Linked DNA regions of Tribolium castaneum. The protein of the gene in region 2 purifies or fractionates together with the protein of the main gene of each other region. This does not show direct contact. Links are inferred from orthologs where the notes say so. Each region holds a gene or a part of one and is shown on either strand. Other genes may lie near its edges. The genes, in order: protein LTO1 homolog and pix.

Region 1 (2,761 bases), on a different chromosome or scaffold from region 2:
CTAGATGGAATGTAACACTTTACTTAGAAACTAAGAAAAAGAGAGTATAATTGACTAGCTCATAACAATCATGTTTCAATCAAACTTGTTATTTTTAGTTACATGTTGTAATCCTTTTGCAACGACTAAATGTTCGGTAGGAAAATCCAAAATCACGGTCACGTGAAACGCCATATTGGCCAACGCGATTATGTATTCGCAAAATGCAAACCAACTGAAAGCTTTACAAAAAAAATATTAATCCTGATTTAATCACACAGTAACTTACCCATAACGTGGCACAACAATCTATGTTTGAGAAAAAACGCAACAAGTCCCACCGTACTGACAAGTGACAGAATTAGGAGACTTTTTTTAATCAAAAGACCTCTTTGAACACGTTCGAGATCGTTATTCGTTTCCGCCACCCATCTTATACCCTTGATGCAGGCGAGCATGTGCATGAGGCTGCTCACCATAAAAATTATGAACAGTTTTTCATGAATTGCTACAATTATTTTTGATTATTAAAAAAACTGGCCACGGTGGAAACGTACGATAGTTTTCCCTGTTTGAAATGTACGTGACGCCGCACAGCGACCCAATTTCCAGAACATTCAGCCAGAAGGCGAAATTCAGCCACCACTTGGCCTTTTCGTGGTACTTCGAGGATGCATTGATGAGATTCAAGTGATAGGATTTGTGTACAGCGGCGATGATAAATCTTGGTCCAATGTGAAATGCAACGCTGATTCGCCACAAGTACCTCTGGGGGCTGATCCCCGTGATTGCGCTTATTGACGGTATGATATTATAAACCTGCAAAAATGCGTTTTTCCGGGGAATTCCCCAAGCTGAACTTACACGACAGTGGGTTTCGTGGATGTCGTCCGGTTGGAAAATGTAGGCAGTTACGAAACAGATAATAAGGGCTAAAAGGGGGCACGATACCGTCACTAAACAAAGGTGTTTGAAACTTAGCATGTAATGCACAATGAAGTTTTCCACGACTATATTTTCTTTGGTGGTGTTGGACTTCATTGTGGAAGAACAAGCGGAAGAGCTAATTCGCGGAGTCTAGAACTCGGAATGAGTTGAGCTTTTATTCATAAGGTTGGAAAGACATTCTAATTTTAGTTGTGGAAATAAATAAACACCGAGTTACCGAGGAAGAATTTTGACAAGTTGCCTGGTTTGAGGTTGGTTTTGGCGCCAACCGGGCAGGGTTTAAAGTTTTTCGTGCAACTCAACGGTACTGACTTTTTTAGACTTTTTGGTGATAATTTGCAATTGTGGCGTTTGAACGAACTTTATTTTAATGTTAGACGAACTCCATTTAGTGTTTTAAATGTGTAGTTAGATTTGGATAATAGGACTTGGATGTCATTTGGATCTACTTATCCTATACCCACGGGGACCTATTTTTTGTCTATTGCAGGGAAATTGTGCAAAATAAGTAAATATTTAGCTTAAAATGGGTTTTTAGGTGATTTTTGGTATGTTTAACGAGTGTTTTCCAGTTTAGTTTTTTACCATTGATTTTTTTGGAGGACTTGGTGGCCATGGTATTGCATACACAGCAGGGTTTAAAATCCTAACCTTTTTTTATGGTGCAATTTTTTGATTGAAACTTTGTGATTATTGTACCGATTTTTTGTAAATCTGCAATTATCATTTGTGTTACACACGTTTCGCAAGTTTTGTGCTTGATAAGCGTTATGCAAGACCATGACAGGTTAGTTTTTTGTCCACTTGAAAAAATGTTAATTTACATTTCCCCATCAGATGAGCCCGAAAAAGACATTAACGATGTTTTCTCCGACATTCTCCTGAGCGAGGACCGCATTTTCGAGCAAAGTTACAACCAAGGCTACGAATTAGGAAAAGGGGAAGAAAACATCGAAGCCTACCACTTGGGTTATCATCGTGGGGCCGAATTAGGTGCAGAAATCGGTTATTACACCAGTATTACGTCATATTATTTAAGCCATAAATCAGGTGACGAAAAAATCGTCAAAGAACTCGATACTTTGAAGGAAATGTTAAATTCTTTTCCCAGAGAAAATGACCCAAATGTTGATATATTAGAACTCATAGGCAAAATTCGAGCGAAATTCAAAAAAATCTGCGCGGTTTTGAAACTACAACCCTCTTTTCCCGAGTCTGACAAACTTTCGTTTTAATCATGTCTTCGGTGCACATTAGACAAACAATTGACAGTCTTTTGGCGTTTCTGGAACCATTGTTGGGTTTTGCCAACTGTCACATGGTAGATTTTTACACCCAGAATTCCTACAAAAAATTTGTATCTCCGGAAATTCAAAACGAAATCGAACAAATTGGTTACGAAAACACAATCAAGCGCATTTTCCTGAACGAGTTTGACGCGACCCCTCATTTGAAACAATTTGTCGAAGACAGCTCAAAATTTACGTTAAAAAACTGCCACGTGTGTCTCAATTTGGACTCTTTCACTCAAAAACTGCAATCGTGGGGCTGTGATACTTTAGATACGTTCAAACTCGAGATTTTCATGAATGCGAAAAAATCGCACGAGGTTGAGATTTTAAGCGCCGTGGCCGCGGCCCTATTCCGGGTCTCGCAAGCGTCTCATGTGGTGGATTTGGGCGATGGCAAGGGCTATCTAAGCTCGATGTTAGCCCTCCAACACCAAATCCCGGTCGTGGGAATAGACGCGTCCAACACTAACACTTGTGGGGCTATCAAGCGCGCCACCAAACTCTCCAAAGTGTGGAACGGCATCCCCAAGGCGCCCCACAAA
Region 2 (4,028 bases):
GACATAGTTAAACCAAATGTGGGACAAAATCAAGTAATTTGAAATGTATTTTTGTGTTTTTATCGAAATGTTAATGTTAATCAAGAATTGAAATTTGTTCTATTTTACTACAAAGTAAAATAAAAAAAGTTTATTATTATCAGAATTCGTCAATAAATTAAGCCAACATTATAATAAAAAAAGAGCAATAAGATGGTTACTGAAAAAAAATTAAACATTAAAAATGAAGAGTTTTACGAATTAATTATTGATAATTTTAAGTTAAAACAAGAGCCACTTTATTTCCAAAAGTCCACTACAAGGCTAAAGATTTTATTTTTCTCTTGTAATTTCACTTGTAATTGGTTGTTTATATCTTTAACACCCGTTACATTACTCCATTCATTTCGCCCTAGGGCACAATAAGCGGGCGTTGTGTTATGATAACGCCCGCTGTTATCAAGGCTAATAAGTAGTAAATAATTTTAAAGTAAAAATTATATCATTATATGAACCTCTAGCATAACTCAATGTTTATAATTTACAAATCTCGAGCCGAAGGCCCTTGGATTTGTCTGTTGCCTTTATGCCTTTAGTACAAAAATAACTACCTACACTACCAATTATTTTCTTTTTAACACTTATTGTTGATGGGAAATAATGTTGAATTAAATAAAGCACAGATCGCATATTAAAAGACTTTCTTCCATAGGAAATATAGACCCGGAGTAGTCTTCAAAAATAATAATTGGTGAAAGGTATAAGGCTAGAAATAACATAAATATGAAATATTATTTTGATTTTGTTATGCATATTTTCTTCTCAAATGACAATCCAGTATGAAAATAAAATGTCTTTTGACAAAAACTAAATTTAAGTGAGGTGGTTGTAATTCCTTGTTTGCAGTCTAGACCAAAAAAAATTGTTCTATGGTAGGTTGCTATTCAGAAAAATTGATCACAAAATTGAACTTAAAAACGAAAAAAATATAAAAAAATATAAAATATAAAATAAAACGATCACATTTTTACAGTACCGCTTAAAAACTATGACATACCTAATTTTAATTCTTACATTTCCGTATGTCCACACGACTGTTGTTCACTTGCACAATACAAATGTTCATTTAATTTTTGAAAAAACTAATCGAAGAATGTACAGTAGGTATACTATAAAATAGTAAAAAAAATTTTTTTCTCTTATAGGTAGTAATAATGTTGCTTATTCATAGATACGAGTAGACGTAGTACACCTTTCTTCTACAAGTGGTTACTATGGCACATTATTTCATTTAGTTGTGGTCTGTTTTTTAAGACAATTGTGTGTCAAAATCGGGTATAAAAGTAGATCATATAGCTTTAAAAAGCAAAATTGGTAAATTAGATTAGATTTCGTCAATTAAAGCCATACAACAAAAATTCTATAGAATAAAGTAGTCATTTGGTGATTTTTTTATTCTGACGGTGAAAAAATCTAACAAAAATTTCTCGATATACCTATAACAGAAAATTTTTGTTTCTAATAAGTTATGCTTAATAAATAAGTAGCAACCTATCTTCAAACAATTTTTCTTCACAAAGACTGCAATCACAGGATGATTACCACCTCAACTGAATTAATTTTTTGTCAAAAAAAAAGTTGATATTGGAATAATTAGAATTAGAGTTAGGTATGACAAAATTTCGGCGGTATTTGGTATTTTCAATTAAAAAAACCGCCGACCGACCTATATTTATATCATACCGCTTTGACTAATTTAATTTATTTAAATTTAATTCCGATTTTCAGCGGCTTTTTCATACGTCCGCATATAAAGCCGCCAGACGGCGGTCTTTTTAGTATTAACTAAGAGTACTGCCGGTGGTCGTTTAGCCAGTGCCTAGAATAAATTGTAATTTCCGCGCCATCTGTTAGTTTTGGAACACACTGTATCTTGTTTTCATTTATCCTTAAGGAATTTAAAAAGGTAATTAATTTTAACTTTTTCTTTTTTTCTTCAGATTTATAATTGTCGTGGAACACGATCTCAGCGTCTTAGATTATTTATCAGATTTCATTTGTTGTTTGTATGGTGTTCCTGGAGCGTATGGTGTGGTTACTATGCCATTCTCCGTTCGTGAAGGTAAAAAAAACTAAAAAAAAATGACTCCCAAACGTAATTATAATTTCTGTCTCAAAGGAATTAATATATTTTTGGACGGTTTTGTTCCAACCGAAAATCTGCGTTTCCGTGACGAATCTTTAGTGTTCAAAGTGGCTGAATCTGCCAATGAAGAGGAAATAAAACGTATGAACCATTACGAGTACCCTTCGATGACTAAAACCATGGGAAATTTCCAACTAAACGTGGTCAAAGGCCAATTTTCCGATTCCGAAATTTTGGTTTTACTCGGCGAAAACGGCACCGGTAAAACAACATTCATTCGAATGTTGGCCGGCAATTTACAAGCCGATGATGGTTCCGGGGAATTACCACAACTTCATATCAGTTACAAGCCGCAAAAGATCAGTCCGAAATCTCAGGGATTAGTCCGACAATTGTTACACGAGAAAATCAGGGACGCTTACATCCACCCACAGGTATTATTTTGTTGCGTTATTTTGTGTGGTCTTTGATACCATCTTGTAATTTAGTTTATGGCTGACGTCACTAAGCCGCTTAAAATCGACGATATTATCGACCAAGAGGTGCAAAATCTGTCTGGTGGTGAGTTGCAACGTGTGGCTCTAACTCTGTGTTTGGGCAAACCAGCTGATGTCTACCTTATCGACGAACCCAGTGCCTACTTAGATTCCGAGCAGCGTCTCATGGCTGCTAAAGTAATCAAAAGGTTTGCATTCACCAAAAAATGTAGTTTTTGGATGTGTGATTTTTTTCTTCTAGATTTATTTTGCATGCGAAGAAGACAGGTTTTGTGGTAGAACACGACTTCATCATGGCTACTTACCTGGCAGACCGCGTGATTGTATTTGAGGGTACGCCATCTGTTAAGACCACAGCCAACTCGCCACAGACTCTTCTAGCTGGAATGAACCGATTTTTGGAGTTGTTAGGGATTACATTTAGGCGGGATCCTAATAATTTTAGACCCAGAATAAACAAGCAAGAGTCTGTTAAGGATGTTGAGCAGAAACGGTCAGGACAGTATTTCTTTTTGGAGGATTAAATTTTGTTATGAAATATTGTGTATTATATGGCGCTCTTTACAGGTTTCTGTTTTTATAAACAAATATAATATATGTGGAAGGATAATAAACGGATTATTATCATTATGTGTTTGTGTTTACTTCTCATTAAAACTCTAATAACATGAATATTGATGTTGGACGTGTCATTCTAATCGGGTTTAATGAGTCACTGAAATAAAATTTAGACCTTGGTTGCACTTAAATACAGACTTAAATAATAAATGACACATTAATTTTTTATTTTATGTCAAAATCTTAACAAAAGTGGTAATTTTTGATTTCATCGATCGTGGATGTTACAATTTTTTTTAAAGGAATGAAATAGTTTTTGAAGAACTAAGCTCAAAGATACTATTTTTTATCAATTTTCGTTGATAAAGTTTTAGGCTGTCCCGTAAATTGAAATTTATCCTCCGACTAAAACGCTCTATCCCGGAAACTATAAACAATCGGAAAAAGCACGTTGAGTTATTTTGCATTCTTTTGAGCTTTACTATCAGCCCTTAAAATATGTTCCAAACTATCAAATTCACCTGGTATGTGCCAAAAAAATTTCCCAGACAAGCCCTAACGGGATTCATTTGTCAACAAATGTCCAGCCGGAAATAAATACTTACTAGATATTCTACATTGTGTTCCAAAATGGTTGTTCATCAAGTTGCCTATGGAATTCAAATTCGATATGCCGCTTCGTCCGTCTTGTATAAAGACGGTAATGGTTAAGTTAATAGAATTAATAATTGCGACTTAACGTTATGTATACATGCCCTAATACTAATGTTATGATAGCTGATATACAGCCTGTTATAGAATGGTTTAGCAAAAATTTAAAGGTAAATATAGAAAGACAAAACGAATCT

The links.
Region 1: the proteins of pix (region 2) and protein LTO1 homolog purify together in Homo sapiens (affinity purification with mass spectrometry; 4 studies listed by BioGRID and IntAct, with this or other methods). This does not show direct contact. The link is inferred for Tribolium castaneum from reciprocal best matches to the Homo sapiens genes ABCE1 and LTO1.

The regions. Positions count from the first base shown.
Region 1 is NC_087397.1:2,016,253-2,019,013, reverse strand, and holds protein LTO1 homolog, read left to right. Parts: upstream 1-1,707; coding exon 1,708-1,714; intron 1,715-1,764; coding exon 1,765-2,162; downstream 2,163-2,761. Other genes in the region: post-GPI attachment to proteins factor 2-like, read right to left, coding at 76-221, 269-487, 537-798, 844-1,020; probable methyltransferase-like protein 25, read left to right, coding at 2,165-2,761. UniProt on the Homo sapiens protein: The complex LTO1:YAE1 functions as a target specific adapter that probably recruits apo-ABCE1 to the cytosolic iron-sulfur protein assembly (CIA) complex machinery. May be required for biogenesis of the large ribosomal subunit and initiation of translation.
Region 2 is NC_087394.1:21,654,689-21,658,716, forward strand, and holds the end of pix (protein Pixie), read left to right. Parts: intron 1-1,979; coding exon 1,980-2,101; intron 2,102-2,158; coding exon 2,159-2,559; intron 2,560-2,613; coding exon 2,614-2,810; intron 2,811-2,863; coding exon 2,864-3,146; 3' UTR 3,147-3,252; downstream 3,253-4,028. UniProt on the Homo sapiens protein: Nucleoside-triphosphatase (NTPase) involved in ribosome recycling by mediating ribosome disassembly. Able to hydrolyze ATP, GTP, UTP and CTP. Splits ribosomes into free 60S subunits and tRNA- and mRNA-bound 40S subunits.